Caenorhabditis elegans: one gene and its partner. The protein of the gene in region 2 purifies or fractionates together with the protein of the main gene of each other region. This does not show direct contact. Each region holds a gene or a part of one and is shown on either strand. Other genes may lie near its edges.

Region 1 (10,990 bases), on a different chromosome or scaffold from region 2:
AATCTTAATTATGTTGAAATTGCGAACGCGCTCTATCGAGAAAATGTTTTAAAAAATCGATGATTTTATTTGCCAAAACCAAAAATTCCATAATGACGTCACATGTGGTGTCAGGGTGTCTCATTTCGGCTTGATCTAAGTTGATCTACAAAAAATGCGGGAGAAGAGACGCAGAGTTTTAAACTAATTTCACATGGTTAAGAACGTGCTGACGTCACATTTTTTGGTGCTAAAAATTCCCGCAATTTTTGTAGATCAAACAGCAATGAGACAGCCTGGCGCCACGTGACGTCACTATTAGCTACGCGGCCGCAGAAACTCCTAGGCCACACCTACCTCCAATACGTCCTTCAGTAAAATCCATAGCAACACCCTCTTCCTTCTTCTTAATAGCATACTTATCACGAATGCCCTGACGCATTTTTTCTCTCTCATTCTCCATCTTCCGATGCTTCTCCTTACGCCGTTCCTCTTGCTCCAACCGAGCCGCAATCACTTCTGGATCCTCTCCAGTTTCCGTCTTCTCACCACCATCGTCCTTCATACCGAGACCGCCGGTCACCTCGCTCAGCTGATTTCCGACCATTTGTTTCATCAAAAAGCCCGCCATTTTTCACGTTTTGTTTTGAGGGTTTCAAGCTGCAAAATTTGAGAAAATAACGTGAGAATTAAAATTTTGACATGAAAAAATCGGAAAAATTTTAATGGCCTAGTTTTTCTGATAACCTAGTCCACATGAAAATTTATAGTTACCTAGAAGAAACCCTAGTTTTTCATAACCTCCTAGACCGTCTAAAAATATTAATGGCCTAGTTTTCTATGATCTAGGCCACGTAGAAGATATTGATGGCCTAGTTTTCCAAAAAAACCTGTGTCACTTTGAAATTGATAATGATCTAGTTTTTGCAAACCTAGGCCGTTTTCAATGAAGTGCTGAATTTTTAGATGTCTTTATTGGGAAAACCCGAAAAACACAAAAACACGAAAAAGAGGAAGAAAACAGAGAAGGAGGAGGGAAAATTGATGGGGAAGAAACGAAAAACGCAAAAAAAAAAAGAAAAATGAGAGGAAGTAAAAAGGAAATGGGACGTCTTGTGTGTGTGTGAATATGAAAATGTTTTTTTTTTCAACTTTTTCATTCAAAACACCTAAGGGAAGGTAATTAAGTGGACGGGGGCGTGACCGACCAATCAGGTATTCTGGCTGAAAATTTGGAGATTTTAAGTTCTAAATGAATATTTTTTAAAAATTTTACAGAAAAGATTTTGATGGGAAATTAACTTTTTTGCAGAATATGTTTTAGCCAGAAATTCAAATTTTTAGCAGAATTTTTGGCGGGAAAGTCAACCTTTTCCAGAAAAAATTCAGCGGGAAATTAAATTTTTTGCAGAATTTTTTAAAGCCAGAAATTCAAGTTTTTAGCAGAATTATTGGTGGGAAATTCAAATTTTCTTAGATAAAACATTGGCGGAAAATTTTCTCAAAAAAAAATCACGGGGGCTGCCTTCCTCATTGAATTTTTCGCGCTCCATTGACAATCGCCTGCCGGACAACGCGTGGGAAACTCGTGTACTCCACACGGACAAATACATTTAGTTTTACAACTGAAATCGAGCCGCGACGCGACACGCGACACGCGCCGTAAATCTACCCCAAATATGGCCGAGCCAAAATGGCCTAGTTCGGCAAAAACTCTTCCATTTCAATTTATGGGGGAAGCCAGAAATCCGTGAAAAACGTATTTGACAGAAACTCTATTTTTTCAGAAATCATTTTTTGGCGGAAATTTCAAATTTTCAAAGAAAAAATTTCAGCGGGAAATTCAAATGTTCTTTTTAAAAGTTTGGCCTAAAAATTCTTCAAATTTCAAAAGCGTTTTTCATAACCCCCAAAATCAGAAAAAAAAAGAAAAATCTACCGTAACCTATCATGTGCTCTTTTGTTCCTCAAAAGCTCAAAAAACGCAAGAGTACTTCAAATTGTTCCAATTCAATGGACTACGGTAGAGCACACTTGCATTTTTCTCTTCATTTTTGGCTCCCCTCGCTGAAGCATTTCGGGCAAAAATTGAATACTCTGGGAGAGGCGAAGGGAAAGATTTTTTGCTTTTTTGGCGGCGGCCGCCTAGCGCCAACTACATTCCCACCCATCAAAAACAAAAAAAAACACTTTTTTCTATTTTTTTGACGTCCTCCCAGCTGATTGATGCATTTTTGCGGCAAAATTTCTGGGTTTTTGAATCCATGGAATTCATAAATATATAAGGGTTAGGCTCCGCCCACTTACGAGAAAATGTTCATTTTATTTCAAAAAAATTAACCGTGCCCCTCACGTGGAGTCAGAGTGTCCCATTTTGGTTTGATCTACGTAGATCTACAAAAAATGCGGGAGAAAAGACGCAGAGTTCTCAACTGATTTCGCATGGTTAAGAACGTGCTGACGTCATATATTTTTTGGGCAAAAAAACCCCGCATTTTCTGTAGATCAAACTGTAATGGGACAGCCTGGAACCACGTGGTGCCCCTCAAAGATGCATGGCGGAAAATTCAAATTTTCACAGAAAAAGTGTTCAGTTGGAAATTCTACCGTACTCCTCTTCCAATTTTGAGGTGCATAGAAGAAGTTGGGCACGGGTTTCTGGCTCGACCCCTCGGTGTATTTTGTGCAAACACCGTCACGCGCAAATGCATACACTTTTTCAACGCGCTGCGTGAAAATTCCTCTTGCGATTTCAAAAAAATTTTTCCCGCCATTTCAGTGTCCAATGGAGCGCGGGGTCGAGCCAGAACCTCGTGGTTGGGTTAGAAAGTACTTGAAATAATTTTTTTTGAGAAAAATTTAAAAAAAAAGAAAAATAAGTTGTCGGAATTTGCTCAAAAAAAGGAGAAAAAGGAATGGCGGAGCCGCCGCCGTCGCCACAAAAAAAGAGCAAATGCACATAGAGCAAAAACACGAAAAGAATGGAAAAAATGGGCGGAGCCTCGCAGCGGGGGGCTCACATGAGAGAGAAAAAGCTCGCGCCTCAAGGGACGCCAAATCGATGAGCGGGGGGCTCTCACGTCTTCTACTTTTTTTTTTGCTCGCTGCTGAGCACAGAGAAAAAGAGCACCTCCTTTTTGTGCATGTGTGCTTCGCGCTCCGTGAGCTCTGAATGAGTTATTCTTGCACGGGCAAATGCTCTTCAGGGGTGGGTAGGAAGAAGAGATGGGTAAAATGAAACAAGAAGAGCAAAGAATTGTTTTCGAAATTTTTTTCTGGATAACTAATAGTTGTATTTCTCGCGACTAATGCATTACAAAACTAGAAAATACAATAAAAACTCGGGCCGCCAAACACCGATTTCTGGCTTCACTCATAAATTGAAATAGAAGAGTTTTCGCCGAACTAGGCCATTTTGGCTCGGCCATATCTGGGGTAGATTTACGGCGTGTGTCGCGTGTCGCGTCGCGGCTCGAGTTTAGTTGTAAAACTAAACGTATTTGTCCGTGTGGAGTACACGACTTTCCCACGCGTTGCCCAGCAGGCGATTGTCAATGGAGCGCGGAAAATTCAACGAGGAAGGCCAGAACCCCGTGGCCAAAAAAAAAACTTTTATTTCTGGGAAAATTTGAACTTTTGTTTGATCAATTTTGATGACCTTGTTGTCAGAATTTCAGAAACTTTCTAAAAACATACCGTATTTCTTCTATTAATATGGCTGCAATACTATTTTTCGATGGTCTTCCCGCTTGCAATACTAATAGGGAGTGCAAGACTATTAGGGAGTGCAATACTAATTTTTAGAACATTTTCTGACTTTGAGCTTACTAGTTTTTTTTTTCTGAAAAAGCTCGAATCTTTATGTAAAAATTCAGAAAATTTGATTCTAATTGTAACATATAAGTTCAAAAACTTCAATCTCGTAGAAATATTGTGAAAAACTGTAGCAAAATAGGCAATTTTTTTTGTTGAAATCCTGAAATTAACGAGACGGGCCTGCAATAAAAAAGAGTAAACGCAAGACTATTAGGGAGTGCAATACTAATTTTCAGAAGATCTCCGAGGGACAATACTAATAGGGAGTGCAAGTCTAATAGGGAGGCCATATTAATAGAAGATATACGGTAATCATGGGGCTCTGGCCTTTCTCGTTACATTTTCGCGCTCCATCGACAATCGCCCGCCGGACAACGCGTGGGAAAGCCGTGTACTCCGCACGGACAACTACATTCAGTTTTACAACTTAAATCGAGCCGCGACGCGACACGCAACGCGCCGTAAATCTACTGAGCCAAAATGGCCTAGTTCTGCAAAAACTCTTCCATTTCAATTTATGAGAGAAGCCAGAAATCCGAATCGCGACTAATGTATTACAAAACTAGAAAATACAAAATAAACTCGGGCCGCCAAACATAATTTTCAAAAGAAAGAAATTTTCAATTTCCCGGCAAAACGTTATTTCTGAGAAAATTTGAACTTATGTTTGATCAATGTTTCCTTGTTTCAAAATTTCAGAAACTTTATTTTTTTTAAAAAGTTATATGTTATTGTTTTTTAGGCGCAGAATTCCCTGACTGAATTTACATGGTGAAAGCGTGATGACGTCACAGTTTTCTGTATTAAAAATTCCCGCATTTTTTGAAGATCAAACACTAATGGGGCATCCTGACACCACATGTTAAAATACCCAGAATAGTCTCACAAGTTGATCACAATGTACTAGCAGTTTGATCAGCTACATCTCGACTGTGAAAGAAAATAGGAAAATAGTTTTTGCTGGTAACGTGTTCCTCATTTTTAGCTTTACAAGTTTTCTGTTGATCGTTTTTTTTTCATATTCCATTTATCCTGCCATTTGCTATAAAATAATGAACGAGGACAAAGATTTTTTTACATATTTCAAGAGTCTATACATTTTCAACGGGAAAAATTTTTGATTCCTATTCCTCAGAAAGTTTTTACCAGGATTTTATTAGCTCAAATAAATTTGAATTGAATTTTATTTTAGTAACTGAAAAAGTAAAGTTAACCAGCACAGCAATAATACACCAAAAGTAATTTCATAGAAAATTAATAATTTTAATTATTTGTAATTGGAACTGAAACGGAATTTGAGAAGTGGAACAATGTTCGAGGATCCGTCGGAAATCTATCATGCCATACGAGAAAATACATGGCAAAGTTTTCAATGAGAATAGTTGCTAATAGACCATCACTTCTTTCGATATCACGTCCATATGAGCAATCCACGAATTCAAGATCATCGCTGAAATAAATTTAATAAAAGCTAAATTCATTTCGACTCATTGCCACTTATATAGGTAGCTCACATCGCTAATAATCTCAGGATTCTAACAGGATCTAACAAAAAGTTAATATTTGGAAAAGGGTGTAATAAAACTCACCAGAATATTCTTGCTCGACGTTTCGGATTCCATTTGGAATATGGTAAGCCATACAATAAGTCGCCCGCCCAATGATGCCACCAATAGTTCAATTGAAGTCTTCTCAGGTTTGGTAGGTTCCCGTCTAACCAATAACGAATGTACTTATTGATTTCTCTTGCCTTGATTGTATTGAGATCATAAAATCTCATCTTCTCGCAATTCATCATTTTCAAATCGTCCAGTGTTAATCCTGGGCTTTTTTCGAAATCCAAACGTGGAATATTGACCAACTTAAATTTTAGTATTCTAGTTCTTAACAATTATCTTTTCAACTTACCAGTTTTATATCAATCTTGGTTCTGCGTAGAGAGCGAGTCAGGAATCCATATTTCAAATTAAAATTCTTCAATATAAATTTCATATCCTCTGTGGTAATGTACGATCCTTCTCCTAGAAACTTGAGGAAATGGCATTTCCGGAACAAAGGGTGGCTCAAAGCGGACTGATATGATAATCTGAAAATGTCTCCAATTATCTGAAATTTTATGAAAATATGCTGAAACATCTGAACTTTTGTCTTAAATTGTCTTAAATTGTACAATCATTTCACAAATTCCAAGCTGGAAAATCTAATTTTCTTGTTTTTTTTTTCGCACAGAAAATCCAATTTTATTTTATTTTGCACTAAACAACACGCACTACGACACTCCGTTATCCCGCTTGAAAATTATTTAATTTATTTTATTTTATTTTATTTTATTCGAAAAAAACTCAATTTCCACTCATTTTCCGAGATTTTTTCCGTGTTTTAATGCTAAAAATGCACTTTTTGACATTAAAACCGTCTAACACAGCTTTATTGTGCCCTAAAAGTCGGGAAAATCCATAAAATCAAGTTTTTTTCAGAAATGGGTTTGTTAGATGACATTTCGAAGCTAACAACGCCCGCAACAGAGCTGCCAGACTTGGAGGATGATAATTTTGAAGGTTATCTAGTTTTTCAGGCGAAAAATTAACAAAAAAAATGTTTCAGACTCGCAGTCCGCGCTAAAATCCCTAAAATCCACCGGAAACCGCCAAAAAGCCGCTCAAAATTTCAATTTCGAGGAGGGAAAGTACGCGGGAAGTGCTGTTTCAAGAAAAGAGCTTTTCGGTGATATTTCTGAAATTTCCGGCTTACAAGGGAACTTTGACAAGTCGGAGAGCGAGGAAGACGAGGACGAGGAGGAAAAAATCGATAATTTCGATGAATCTGAGCCAGAAATTGAAGATGAGGAGGAAAATGAGGATTTAGAAGACGAGGAAGATGAAAATCCTGAAGAAATTGATACAAATATGGGAATGACTACTCTTTCGCTGAAAGATGAGGAGGATAAAGCCGATAAAGGTTAATAAAGCCTCTGAAATGGGAAAAATTTGCGAAAAAAGCATTTTTTGGCGAATTTCCCGGTTTTTTCTGTATTTTTAACATTAAAATTGCGAAAATTGACCGATTTTCCGAGGAAAATTGATTTTTTTTTTCAGAAAAAATAGGCTTAAAATCTCAGATTTCACCCGCAAAATCACAAAAAACTCAAATTTCCACACAAAAAGTCGTGAAATTCCAGATTTACTCAAAAAATCGCCAAAACTTTGAGTTTTAATTCAAAAAAACCTAGAAAGGAGCAAATTCCGTTAAAAAAAATCGGGAAAATTGCCAATTTTCCACAGAAAAATCAAACTAATCTCCTAATTTTTGAAAAATCCCAAAAAACTTTAAATTTTCTTCAAGAAATCGCTGAAAAAGTCATATTTTTCTCTGAAGCATTGCGAAAATCTTGAAATTAATAAAAAAAATAATTGAAAATTCCCAAAAATCTTCAAATTTTCCATTAAAAACCAACCAAAAAAAATCTAATTTTCCCGAAAATCACCAGATGTTCATTTAAAAACATTGCAATTTAAAAAAAATCGCCAAAAAAATAATTTTTTACGGAAAAATTCCACAAATCGTCCAATTTTCCATAAAATAACCACACAAAAAAAAAATCTAAAGTCCCAAAATTTCAGATTTCAGTCGAAAAATCTGAAAAATTCAGCATTTTCAAATGCGAAACCCAGGAAAATTTCAAAAATCTTGATATTTTATATTTTATATTAAAAAGCGGTTTTTTTTTCCGAAAAAGTCGGTTTTAAATATAAAATATTAAGATTTTTGAAGTTTTCCTATGTTTCGCATTTGAAAATGCTGAATTTTTCAGATTTTTCGACTTAAATCTGAAATTTTGGGACTTTAGATTTTTTTTTGTGTGGTTATTTTATGGAAAATTGGACGATTTGTGGAATTTTTCCGTTAAAATTATTTTTTTGGCGATTCTTCTAAAATTGCAATGTTTTTAAATGAACATCTGGTGATTTTCGGGAAAATTAGATTTTTTTTTGGTGGTTTTTAATGGAAAATTTGAACATTTTTGGGAATTTCCGATTATTTTTTATTAATTTCAAGATTTTCGCAATGTTTCAGAAAAAATGTGACTTTTTAGCGATTTCTTGAAGAAAATTTCCAGTTTTTTGAGAAATTTTTCGGGATTTTTCAAAAAAAATTGTTTGTACAATTTTAGGACTTTTCGTGTGAAAATTTGAGTTTTTTGTAATTTTTCGGGTAATATTTGAGATTTTAAGACGTTTTAGTGAAGATAATTTCAGATTTTTCTGAAAAAATCCGATATTTTGATTGAAAATTGGGAAAAAGTATAGTTTTTAAAATTAAAATTGCGAAAATTGACCGATTTTCCGAGGAAAAATGACTTTTTTCAGTCAAAATATCGGATTTTTTCAGAAAAATCTGCAATTATCTTCACAAAAACGTCTTTAAATCTCAGATATCACCCGCAAAATCACGAAAAGCTTCAAGTTTTGCTCTAAAAAATCACAAAAAACTCAAATTTCCACACAAAAAGTCGTAAAATTCCAGATTTACTCAGAAAATCTCCAAATTTTTGAGTTTTTATTTTAAAAAAACCATATTTTATGAAATTTTTATATTTTATTTGGAAAAAAAACGAAAAAATCTAAAAGTTTGGAGCAAAAATTCCGTTAAAAAATCGGAAAATTGGCAATTCTTTAAAAAAAAATCACATTAAATCATTTAAAAAGTTACAAAATTTTTTATTTTTATTTTTTTAATGCACAAAAAATTGAAAAAAAAAACCTTCAAGAATCTTAGAAATGTGGAAAAATTGAAAAAAAAATCCCAGAAAACTTGAAATTTTCTTACGGAAATTGAGAAAATTTTAAAATAAAAAAAAATTATCGGAAATTCTCAATTATCTTCAAATTTTCCATTACAAATCAAACATGCTAAAATAAATCGCCGAAAAAAAAATTAATTTCAACGGAAAAATTCCATAAATCTTCAAATTTTCTATTAAAAATCAAAAAAAAAAAAAAAAGAAAACCCATGCTAAAAAATTTTAAAAATCTTAATATTTTATACTTAAAAACTGCTTTTTTTTTCGGAAAACTGCAGCTTTTCCCTAAAAATTCCCAAAAAAAATTCCATTTTTTCAGCCGCCAGTGTCCGAAATCAGCGTCTCGTATGGGATGATCTACTCTATTCGAATATCCGGCTCCACGCGTTGCTCAACACAGCCAATCAGCTGCCACGTGGAGAAGCTCGAAAAAATCTGCTCAAAACCAGCGAAGAGCACACACAAAAATCGATGGAATCGGCCATGGAAAATATGGGAAAATTACGGAATTTAATGAAAAACGCGATGGAATTGATTGGTGAAGGGAAGGGAAAAGCCGCCGGAGAAGATGAAGAAGATGATGATGATGTAGAGGAAATTCCAAGTGATGAGGAGATTCTCAGTGATTTTGAAGACGATGAAGAAGAGCCGGCGGAAGAGCTCGAAATTCCGGGAAAATCACGGAAAATTGGTGGAGGATCTACCAGTGTGAAAAGCCTCGCAAAAAATCTGCAAAAAATCGATGAAAAAATGGAGAAATTCCGAGCAACAACACTCACGAAATGGTACAATCGAACTAAGATTCTCAACACGCCGAAATCTATGAATAATACGGATTTTTCGGTTTTTGAAAAGGGCAGCATTCTTGGACAGATTAATAAGGTAGAAAATTGTGGCGGAAAAGCGTTGGATTTCTGCTTAAAAATCGGTTTTTTTAACCATAATATCTAGTTTTTTGGCTGAAAAATCGAAATTTTTGCATTTGGGACAACAAAAAAAAACGGCTGGATTCCGAAAATCGAATTTCGAATATTTTTTTTGGCAGATTTTCCCCCAAAAAATCTAATTTTTTGGCTAATTTTTCAATTTTGGCTGATTTTTGGCTGAAAAAATCGATTTTTTTTCTCGCAAATTTCACGGAAAAATCGCACAAAAAACCTTTTGCTGGTTTTTCCTCAAAAATTCGAATTTCCAAGCAAATTCTATTGTAAACCCCGGTTTTTTCTTAATTTTTCATTGAAAATCGTAAATTAAAAATTTTTTAAATTGAAATTCCAAAATTTCCCGCAAAAATCGCACAATTCTGAAAATTCTGAAAATTTATTTGAAAAATTCGTGTATTTTTTGCCAATTTTCTACGAAAAAACAACCATAAAATTTCCGGTTTTTCACAACAAAAACCCTACTTTTTTCCAGAAATTAAAAAATTTTCAAACATTTCCATATCGTGCGCCTTTAAAATAACGGAAATCGCGGCGAGACCCATTCCATGCACCTTTAAAGTAGCACCACCCAGCGTTGGATTTCTGCTTTAAAATCGGTTTTTTACCATAATATCTAGTTTTTTGGCTGAAAAATCGATTTTTTCGCAAATTTCACGAAAAAAATCGCACAAAAATGTTTTTTTTGCTCATTTTTTCCTCAAAAATCCGAATTTCCAGGCAATTTCCATTAAAAACCCCGTTTTTTGCCGCAAAATTCTTAATTTTTCACTAAAAATCGTAAGCTTAAAATTTTTTAAATTGAAATTCCAAAATTTCCCGCAAAAATCGCTCCGGCAATTTGCTGATTTGCCGGAAATTTTCAATTCCGGCATTTTGCCGATTTGCCGGAAATTTTTAATTCCGCCAATTTGCCGATTTGCCGGAAATTTTCAATTCCGGCATTTTGCCGATTTGCCGGAAATTTTTAATTCCGCCAATTTGCCGATGTGCCGAAAATTTTCAATTCCGGCAAATTGCCGATTTGCCGAAAATTTTCAATTCCGCCAATTTGCCGATTTGCCGCTTTGCCTTTCTGAAAAAAACGTGTTTTAGTTGTGAAAAATTGGAAATTTTATAAATTTTTCCGTGGAAATCTCTGAAAATCATTGCGAGACCCATTACATGCGCCTTTAAAGTAGCGAAAATCGCGGCGAGACCAATAATTTACGAATTTAAACCTAAAATCGCGGTGAGACCCATTTTTTCATCTTAAAAAAATTGAAATTTTGCAGGTTCTCGCCGACGAGGAGAAGCTGCTCAAAAAAGTGCGCACAAATCGAAGCGGAAAACCGCGAATCGGCGGCAAATCCGACTCTCCGGAATCCCTGGACCCCGAGACGTTCGACGATTCGGATTTCTATCAAATTCTGCTCAAACAAATGCTCGAAGCACGAAACCAGATGAGCAACAA
Region 2 (10,990 bases):
GATGTTTTGCACTGTATATTCACCATTTTATGTGTTTTGTGTCACAAATTTGTGTGTTTCTATTTACTAGGCTGTAGTTTTGAATACCTATGTATATCAATAGGTCAGCAAAGTGCTTTTTAAGATTTATGTGTTGCTCGGACACAAAAATATGGAAAAAATTTCCGGACTCACTTTTATACGGTAAAATGTGCAACTTCTTGGTCTATGATGCATCTTCTTTTAGCATGTTATCATTCACAAAACTTTAAATAATATAAAAACATTTCAGTGACTCCAAAGTATCCAAACAACCGCACCACAAGCCGAGTGTTAGGACAAAACGAAAATGTTTGGAAAGCACAATCGAGGTGGAAGTCAATGGGCAGATTTGTACTTGAAAACCGAAAGGACACAGTGCACGCAACCCTCGAAAAAGTGAGATCATTTATATCAAAACTGGAAGCTGCAAAAGCAAGCATGGATCCCAGACACGAGTGATGATGCACATATACTTTCCCTCCGATCAACTCGGTTTCACTCAATTATCACTATCAATACTTCTATTCCTATCACTTTCCTCAAAATTCACTTTAAACACACTTTTCCATTTCTATCCGTCTTATTGAATTATTATGTTCGATCAAGAATTCTGCATGTTTGTTTGCATAATCGTGTGTATTATTGATATACTATGTAAATCCCTATTTTTCATACAAGAAACTATGATACTGAACAAGTTCTCAATGCTAATATTATTTTCATGCCACTAACATGTCTCAATAAACATGAAATGGGTATTTATTTAACTCTACATTATCCGAATCCTCGATTTTTCTACAAAAAAACTCGTAACAAATTGGCAAAATTACATCCAAATGAAAAATGTTCTACAGGAGTTTCACGAAATGGCAAAAATCATTCGTGAGGGTATTCCAAAAAAGGACGAAACTTATTATATGATATACTACTCAGGACTGCCAGGAGAGGATATTTGAAGTTACTGGGATTAATTATGTTTTCACTATATATTTGGTTTTGTAGCTGTGGTTGGCAACTTCTTAAATTTACGGTTTCTTTGTTTGTATGAATAGTCTGTTTTTCTTTCTTTGTTTAAATTGGATTTTTTCCATCCTTGTTCACACAGTATGCAAATGGTGATGTATTCGTTGGTACCACTGAATATGAAATTTAAATTTTTTTTTAGTATAAAGTGTGAAAAATAACACAAAAACCTAGTAGCTCAAATTAAATAGTGAATAAATAAACGTAATATGTGTATATATTTAACAAAATTTAAAAAAAGCTGGAAATTTTTAGTTTTGTAAACTTATGAACAATGTATAAACATATTATTTTGTTATCGTTAAAGTAGATTAAAATTTGTAATTCTAACTGTAATTTTACAATACAAATTTTAATATTTTAAAATAACATGAAAAGTAAATTTGAAGACATTTTTTGCTGTTAATATGTATAATCTTTCTTAATTTCAAAATTTTTGACATATTTCTGCTCAACTCAATTTCAATGATCAATATGAAATGCAAAAATACTTCTTTATAAAATTAATTAGTTGTGTGAACTTAAATCTCGATTATTTGATTTTTCAGCGATTCTCCTATCGTGTTTACTAATATTTATTATTTATTACATTTACAATTGCAACCTATCGATAATAATTATGCATACATCTATCTTTTCAATTGGGGCACCAGCAATGTATAGTATGCGTTTTAGGGTAGACGTGTGGAAAGCACAACTTCTTCCTCCACCACAACGCGCAAAATAAGTTTATCCAGCGTTCGCTCAATCGGTCTTCCACGTAAATTCTCCAAGTTTGGCAAGTCGTTGACTATGGATGCTGGACCAAAGTGACCTGAATTCTACTATCTAACAACTGTTTTTTCATTTATATTTGTGTTACATGATCTTTCTTTTCAATTTTTAATAGAAATCTTATAGTGTTTATTAGTATCTGCCAAAATGTTCTATTTGTGTTTTACTTCATTTTTTATGTGATTTATTGCAAATTGCAATACTTTTTTTTTCATTTACATTTTTGTGTACATTCACATTGAAAGCTAATAAATAAGTCACGATTTTTCAACCATTTCATTTTGCCATGCAGAAAGTTTTTTTTGCTGCGTTTGTTAAAAAAACAGGTGTGCACACAAATGGGTTATTGTCTCTGTGGATGGATAGAATGAAATCTGATTCACTTATTTTATATTGAACTGGATTGAACTGGAGCTCAACTATGATGCAAATTTTTGTATTGTTGCTGGTTGTTTTTGTCAGTGTACAGTAAGTTGAATGATTTGAGAATAATGTAAATTACCGCTATGTAAACTGAGTTTTAACGTAGTTCTAAGTTATGCAATGCGTTTTTATAGCAGACTGTTTTTGGTGTTCAAAAAGTTATTTGACAAGTATTACTGAAAGCTAGTCCATCGAACATTCCAAAGTCAAAATTCAATTTGCCAGTTTAATTTTAAAACAAAAATATTTGACTTCATGTGCTTAAATTGAAGAAATAAAAAAAATTTTAACCAACATATTGTTTACTAGATAGCACATTCATAAAGGAAAACCAGACTGTTTTGTTATAACTGTTTTCTTTGGTGTTAAAATTTTATTGCACATTTTTTTAGAACAAACATATTTTTTTATTACACAGTTTTGAATATATTATATTATAAGTAAGAATTGAAGTTTATTAGAACGTTTTAATTTCAGAAGCCAAATCCACATTGCTGACGATAACTATTTTCTCGAAAGACAACGAGTGAAACGTGATGGTAAATTTATGTCGCATAAACTTTTTATTCCTTTCCTTTTCCCAATTTTCCGTTTTCTCCGTAAAACTATGGTAAATTATGTCTGTGTTCTGGTTGATAAGGAAATCATTAAGCTTTCTTCTCCTTTTGTAACTAAATTTGATCTTTACTCCATCTGATTTCGTTACAGCTGCTAGTACTACGTGCCCAAATGGAATGTCCGTGGCTACTCGTAACGTATTTGACAAGACAGTTGCTAGTGGAAAGGTTTTTTGGAACATAAATCTTCAGTTTTATTTTCATTTATAGACATGGGATTGCACTTTGGAGAGTAAGGCTCAGGCAGTGATCAAAGAGTGTTTGTTGGATAACGGTGGTGTCACTAATGGAACATTGAAACTAAGTTTCCCAGTGACTGGTAGTACAACACCAGAAGCAACTATTCAACAATTTCAAACAGCTCTTCAACTTGCATCCAGCAATTCGAATAGCAAGTCACAAGTACTAACAAAATGTTTATAACCCGTCCAAACTGTTATTTATAGATTACTGAATCGATTGGATGCTCTTATGCGCAGTGTCAAAGTAGACTCGACATTCTTTGTCTCTTCAGGTAAACATATAAAGTCAAAAATGTAGATTTAAATGTGAAACTCAACACTTTGAACACGGGTCTCAGAATTACAAAAACTAATAAAACTAAAAGACTAGTAAACGAAAAACCGTATAACTAGAGAAAGTGCTAGACTGTGATAGATTGTTACAAGTTTCAAAAAATATATGGGTTATGTTAAAAACGTTAGACTGTTTCCAAAAGGCAATATCCAAAGGAATTCCAAAAATCTTACGGTGCGCTCAAAACCCGTAAAAACATTTTTTTTTGTGAAAACTTACTTATATAAAATTTTTTAGGGTTCTCGAGTAGAAAAAATATACACTGAATAAATTTTAGTTTTCGTTTATAAAGGCTTTTATGACGACGAATGGCTAAATTTTTTGGAGAAATACATAGTCTCATAATCTTTTGAATAAAATCGGTGTCGTTTAGCAGTGTAATATTTTTGACCTTATTAGAAATGTATTAAACATGTTATTACAAAAACCTTTAAAAAATTCTGATATACAAAATTTCAATTTTCAGCCACTCGTCCACTGTACCTCCACTTCCATAAATATTGCACCACAAATTTCTTGATTTAACTTTTCGCATGACCTTGATTAAATTAAACTCATATTGGAATCAATTCAAATAAAGAACACTTATCAAATCAAACTTATTTGGGTTCCAGAACACTCTGTCACCTGGAAACCGAAATTGATGATCTGATCGAAATCACGAGTAAAAGCGAAAACAAAACATTTCGATTTCAACTTCCTCTTGACAACCGCATCCCCACAGTCTTTTCTTGACAGCAACCAGACGATTCCTGTCAACGTCGCAACCCCAAATTTGCATGGCATTGACAGATAATAAAATAGTGAGAAGGGGTTTATTGTGGCAGAAGACGTGAATGGGGAAAAAAAGAAACATAACAAACATATAAAGCGCTTCATAAAGGGAGGAAACTACCGTGTGTATTATTATATGCCGACACCAATTTTTAGGTTTCACTTTTGCGGTTTCTCACACTCATGACCTCTGCAACTTCTACTTCAGGTACTGTTTTGAACGAATTAGCATAAAATTCCAGAGAGGAGCGACGCCCTTTCAGAACAAAGGACAAACCTATCAAAACCAATAAATTATTACAGTAACGGTGTACAATTTGATATATAGTATAGTTGTTGTATCAGTGGTAGGCAAGCTTGATTCGTTTGACTTTTGAACTTTCTCCTTATTTTGTTCCAAATTTTCAATTCATTATATCACTGTGTTCAAAACTTTTCGAAACTTTCGCTTTCAGTGTTTTGTGTTTGCCCTTCTATTTCAACTTTTACAGTTTGAAAGTCGCATCAATAATTCGTAGACACTTTCTTTTTCCTCTCTCTTTTTTCTGGAGAGTACGTAATAAACTGGTAACTTTGAGGGGCGGAGCTTAGTCTCGACTTCGGTCTTCATAAATAAATTTCAGCCGCGGCGCCTCCCGCATCGAATTTGTGGATTCAAATACAAGGTACCCGTCATGCTCTTTGCTTGCTGATGACTATTATGAACGTGGTCCTTTCCGCTGTCACTCTTTTTCTTATTTTTCGATATGCGCAGGTATGTTTTCATTGGCTCAATTTTTTAATTGAAATTTTTTAGACTGTGAATATAGAAGGCAGTGGAGGAAATGATGAGCTTCTTGAGCAGAACGTGTGGAACGATGTAGACGACAAGGTTGTAGAAGCACTTGGTGGTCTTGATGATGGTTTGTTGATTTTCAATGCCTTGTTCCTTTTATCTCATTGACCGTGTATGTGTTCGTTTTAGAACTGCTAACCGAACATGTGTGTAACAAATCAACGATCACTCAGCTACAGCAGGAGATCATCTTGACAACCCACAATGAATTACGAAGATCATTGGCTTTCGGAAAGCAAAGAAACAAGAGAGGTCTCATGAACGGTGCGAGAAATATGTATAAACTGGTTAGTTTGTACTTTTGAGATAACATTGAGAATATTAGAACGGGATATTATATTGTTAATTACTTAAGTGTGATTAAATGCTTCAAACAATAGAGTCTTTTTGAAGTTTCAAACTAATTATTGATTCCAATACCAACATTTTCAAAAAAGTTGATCAACTTATTGTTCACAGCCATTGAACATATTAGCAATCTGACATTTGAGATATTCTACTAACCTATCAGATACTTTTCTAAAAACAAACAACCACCTTAATACTAGAAATATCTTTTCAAGTTTAACTTGTCATCAAACATACAATTTTAGGATTGGGATTGTGAACTGGCATCACTTGCAGCCAATTGGTCAACCTCCTGCCCTCAGCACTTTATGCCGCAATCGGTACTTGGCTCCAACGCTCAGCTTTTTAAGCGGTGACTAGTTTTCACATAGTCAAAACATTATTTGTTTGTTTTCAGTTTCTATTTTTATTTTGATGGGCACGACTCTACTGTACATATGCGAAACGCGATGAAGTATTGGTGGCAGCAAGGTGAAGAAAAAGGCAATGAGGATCAGAAAAATAGATTCTATGCCAGACGAAATTATTTTGGATGGGCAAACGTGAGTGTATTTGATATAGACCTATTAATGAAGTTGTGAAAATTTCAGATGGCAAAAGGAAAAACATATCGAGTTGGATGCTCGTATATTATGTGCGGCGACGGTGAATCTGCACTTTTCACTTGTCTTTATAACGAAAAGTGAGTTTATAAGTGATATTTTCTAGCTTCCGGTTTAAAAATAACTTGCGCAATAATACATTAATTTTGAAACACCAGTTTTATTGATTCTAGCAGTGAAAATAGAACATATACATAGTTTTTAGATTAATTTGTCATTTCCAATTCCGCTAGTTTTTACTCTGATTTTAAATATTCTCAACTCATATATTTTCGAGCCCAATGCGAAAAAGAAATGATTTACGAAAATGGAAAACCCTGCTGTGAGGATAAAGACTGTTTCACATATCCAGGATCAAAATGTTTAGTACCTGAAGGATTATGTCAAGCACCTTCTATGGTAAAGGATGATGGAGGAAGTTTCCAATGTGATAACTCCCTTGTGTCAGATGTCACCCGCAATTTCACTTTGGAGCAACACAATTTTTATAGGTATTATACAAAAAAATAGTTTAACTTTTCACGTCAACTGTTTAGATCTCGTCTTGCAAAAGGTTTTGAATGGAATGGAGAAACAAACACTTCCCAGCCAAAGGCTAGTCAAATGATCAAAATGGAGTATGACTGCATGTTGGAACGGTTTGCACAAAACTGGGCAAATAATTGCGTTTTTGCACACTCGGCACATTACGAAAGACCGAATCAGGGTCAGAATCTCTACATGAGTTCTTTCTCAAACCCTGATCCTAGAAGCCTTATACATACGGTAACTGTTCCTTTGATCTTCCATAAATATAATATTATCAATGTTGTCATCATCCATCAAAAAACTGTTTAAGGCCGTCGAGAAGTGGTGGCAGGAATTGGAGGAGTTCGGTACTCCAATTGATAACGTTCTGACACCCGAATTGTGGGATTTGAAAGGGAAAGCGATAGGACATTACACTCAGGTATCAAACCAATGGTCAATTTGATAAGGTAGTAGTAGAGGTTCAGATGGCCTGGGATCGTACTTACCGTCTTGGTTGTGGAATCGCAAACTGTCCGAAGATGTCGTACGTGGTTTGTCACTATGGGCCAGCGTAAGTTTGATTGATAGTTTGAGACGTTTGGGGAAGATTGTTTCAAATTTCAGAGGCAACAGAAAGAACAATAAAATCTATGAAATCGGGGATCCTTGCGAAGTCGATGATGATTGCCCGATTGGAACAGATTGTGAAAAGACAACTTCTTTATGTGTGATCTCAAAATAATTTTATTATTTGTATAAGTGTATAGAAGAAATTAGTGGGTTGAAAGCTTAATAAAGATCTGATAGCGATAATTGATAACAATACAAGTTAGTTCAGAGAAATTGGTAAATGCTAAACAAATGACGATGGTTTATTTTTTGAGACATGGGTCCTCCACGTATTCATGTCGAAGCTCAATAGATCGGCTGAACGATTGACCCTGAAATTAAAGAACTATTGAAAATGAAAGGAAATTGCAAGTATGTACAATAAGAATAAAATTAAAATATTGGGAAAAATATCATGCATAATTTTAAATAGAACTATTAGAAAATAAAAATTTCTTTAAAAGTGCAAAAAGTTTAAAGATGCACTTACGCTATTTGTTTCAAATGTTTTCAATTTTTTTTGTATTTTTAAGCTACTAGTACTTTTTAAATATATAACGGTTTCCTTAAAATGTTTATAAAAGACAACACGCAAAAATTTTCAAAATTTTCAGAACTTGTCGTTTATTTGCCAAGCTTAAGTAACATTTTGGAAGTTATGAAAAAACCCGGACGTAGTGCTATGAAAAATGACAAAGCCCACACCTAAGCGATCACATACCATTGTTTAATTTTTAATCTTTAAAAAAGTATATACAGAATGTAGTCACAGATAAAATATATGCATTACCTGTGTTAAAACTGGATAGTGCACACATGGATCCTTCTTTTCAACCTTTTCAGAAGATGAGACAGTTCGAGTTTTCTCGCCCTCCTCTCTTCTTTTAATTTCCTCCTCTCGTCGTTTCAGGGCTTCTTGACGTTCCTGTTCTCTTCTGTGATATTCCTCCATTCTTCTTTTGTGTTCGTCTTCTTGCTCTCTTCTTCTTTGCTCTTGAAGTTTTGCTTCTTCTTCCCGCTTTCGTTCTTCCTCGGCTCTTCGTTCAGACTCCAATCGACGTTCTGAATTGTGAGTCACTTGAATCAAACATTTTGAGTCTATTTTTAGATGCCTACCTTCTTCTCTACGTTCTAACTCAATTCTTTGTTGCTCTTCTTCTTGACGTCTGATTTCTTCTATGCGTTTCTTTTCTTCTTCAATGCGACGGATTTCTTCCAATCTAAGACTTTCTTCCTCTAGCCTTCTGATTTCATCCAACCTTTTTTGTTCTTCTGAAATTGAGAATAACTGACAAAAAGTCTCTTTATTTTACCTTCAAGTCTAAATCGCTCCTCTTCGATTCTTCTTTCTTCATCTGAAACTTCGTGATGTTCTTGGTGATCAACATGATGCTCTTCATTATCTTTGGTAATGTGTTCAGAACTTGATGCCATCTGCTCATCTCCTTCTGTTGGCTCAACTACAGGCTCTTCTACTTCCACTGGTTCTTCGTCTGTTGGCAATACAGTTTCGTGAACTTTCGTTTCAAAAACAGTCTGAATTTGCTATTTCAATTTCAGTAATTTTGGTCAAGCTAACTTTCTCGTAAAAAGCTTTATACTGCACATAAATTGGAATGCACTGACGGATTCGCTCTTCCATGTTTGTCTCAATGTAGATTCGTTTTTCGTATTTTTGAACAGGAGCGTCTGAAAACAAACAAATACGTTTTTGCAGTTTTCAAATCTTGAATACCTGCTGTAAGAAGTTCGATATCCCCCAAATGATACACATGCTTGGCTTTTGCTCCTTCAGTAATGTACTCTGCTGGGATCATTTTTGAGAAAACTCTCTGAAATCATTCATTAAATGTACATCATTCAATAACTAAACTACCTTTTCATTCAGTCCTTCGTAACCACAGTTGTGTTCAATAAAGACATATGGCTCGATCGCAGTGAACTGAAAATATCACAATTCCATTATTAGGAAAAATAAAATAAAAACCTCTTCGGTTGATCCCTTGACACAAAAAACTCCTCTATGATCTGCAACTACAGACCCAAGAAGATCATCACTGTCGAATACTGGAAAAGTTTTCAAACTTTAAATTAAATTTAAATTAACGAATAAACGTACTTGAGTCTTCATCGTAAAGTTGCACAAATGTACCAGGTTGTCTATGCCCGCGACAATTAACAATTCCTTTTACAGTAACTGCTTGTTGAGAAGAGAATACAATTGGAATAAAAATAGAAAACCACACAAAGCTGAAAATCTTCGCCATCGTGGGAAGTGTTGAAAGCACGAATGGCACTGTTTCAGAATCTTTGCAGGAGTGAGCGTGAGGGAGAAGGGAGGAGCAAGACGATGACTAATTGAAATTTTGCTTCCTATACAGTTGTTTTGTTTCGCCAACCAAATCACGACATTTTCGATATAAGGCTCGACGAAAAGTGTACAGTTTTTGTTTTCTTTCGCATCTTTTTAAAAATGTCTAAGGGAATAACGATGTTGAATCATACGTATTCGTATAGATATACGTAGTTGTGATGAAATAAGAAACAAGCTGAGAAAATATTTCGAGGTTCTGAGGCAAAACAAGGGAAAAGGTATTGAGCTTTCATTGGAAACAAAACTAAGATACAGTAAAATTGCAACTTTCATTGGAAAAAAATTTAATTATTGTTATTGAAAACCAAGGTAGCTTCAGGCATTCAAAAAATGTTTGAGCTTTATTCAGGATTTCAAAAAAGAACCTATATACAGCTAGAACGAGGACCTTTGAAATCTGTCGCTGCTGGAACAGTAGCAAAGGAAAGTCGCTTTAAAATGGATGACATTTGATCTATTGATTTGTTGATGTTATGTGACGAGTGCAAGAGAGTGACTTCTAGCATTTGAGCCTGCAGGATGACGTAGAAAAACACAACCGTCTCTCCGCCCTGTCCTTACAATTACACGTGGAGTAAGTATGTGTTATTTCGATTTCGTCTTCAAAAAATGTGGGACTTGAAACGCAGACATCTCATCTGATTTCGAATGGTTAAGAGCGTGCTGACAACACAATTTTTCTGCAAATACTTCCCGCATTTTTTGTAGATCAAACTGTGAGACAGCCTGACACCACGTGCAATTGAGAGAGCTTAACAGAGCGATATCGTCTCACAACAACTCTCTCTCTCTCCGTCATTAATCAAAGTTTGTAAACAAAAATTCTCAAGTACATATTAAAAACATGACAGTGTCGAAAAGCCCACTGTGCTCGAATTTAAAACTTCAAACTGTCATTCGGAATTCGGACACATCCCCGATCATTCCAATCCGTCCATCCATTCATCCATTCCGATAATTCTTCGTCATCATCGGCGTCTTCACAGAACTTTCGGTTTTTTTTCTTTTTGGAATTCTGAAGGTTTTGGAAAATTTGGGAATATTGGAATTTTGAAAATTTTCCGGAAATTTGAAATTCCTTTTTTTGAAAACATAAATTCAATCATTTTGAGTGAGGTCAGATGGGTTGATTGAAAATTATTTGTTTCAAAAAATTCGTTTAAAACCAGAAAATTTTAAAAATATTTCTAATTTTCTGCAAATTTGGAATACAACACTATTTTCGTTACAAAAATCATGTGACTTGACGATTAAACAATTACAACTACAATAAAATATAATTACGACTACATGAAAGACACTTTTTACAATTCGGATTTTTTCTGAAAAATGGGTCGCGCGCAGCCCATCTCAACTATCTCTAACAAACTTTACATGTATGTGATTTCAAAATTGTTTCAGAAAAGCAGAATTCATGTTAACTGTATAAAAAAACGTCAGTTTCGATGATTTGATTATTCAATACTACTAGAACAAATATTGTAAATGAATACGCAATAAAAAT

Evidence for each region. Proteins that work in one complex are often made in the same cells at the same time.
Region 1: the proteins of vap-2 (region 2) and aatf-1 fractionate together in Caenorhabditis elegans (co-fractionation; one large-scale study listed by BioGRID). This does not show direct contact.

What each region holds. Positions count from the first base shown.
Region 1 is NC_003279.8:1,595,566-1,606,555, forward strand, and holds the start of aatf-1 (Protein BFR2), read left to right. Parts: upstream 1-6,272; 5' UTR 6,273-6,274; coding exon 6,275-6,353; intron 6,354-6,399; coding exon 6,400-6,753; intron 6,754-8,915; coding exon 8,916-9,478; intron 9,479-10,811; coding exon 10,812-10,990. Other genes in the region: cpx-1 (Putative complexin-1), read right to left, coding at 337-610.
Region 2 is NC_003284.9:10,785,937-10,796,926, reverse strand, and holds vap-2 (SCP domain-containing protein), read left to right. Parts: upstream 1-4,391; coding exon 4,392-4,416; intron 4,417-4,831; coding exon 4,832-4,962; intron 4,963-5,004; coding exon 5,005-5,110; intron 5,111-5,172; coding exon 5,173-5,330; intron 5,331-5,636; coding exon 5,637-5,743; intron 5,744-5,788; coding exon 5,789-5,933; intron 5,934-5,981; coding exon 5,982-6,073; intron 6,074-6,268; coding exon 6,269-6,484; intron 6,485-6,529; coding exon 6,530-6,758; intron 6,759-6,831; coding exon 6,832-6,942; intron 6,943-6,988; coding exon 6,989-7,074; intron 7,075-7,127; coding exon 7,128-7,245; downstream 7,246-10,990. Other genes in the region: plc-1 (Phosphoinositide phospholipase C), read left to right, coding at 272-480; T05A10.6 (DUF19 domain-containing protein), read left to right, coding at 2,240-2,286, 2,719-2,780, 2,950-3,026, 3,069-3,260, 3,305-3,372, 3,901-3,931; ttr-14 (Transthyretin-like family protein), read right to left, coding at 7,376-7,444, 7,903-8,174, 8,229-8,384, 8,426-8,648, 8,692-8,801, 8,848-8,944, 8,989-9,054, 9,100-9,179 and 1 more.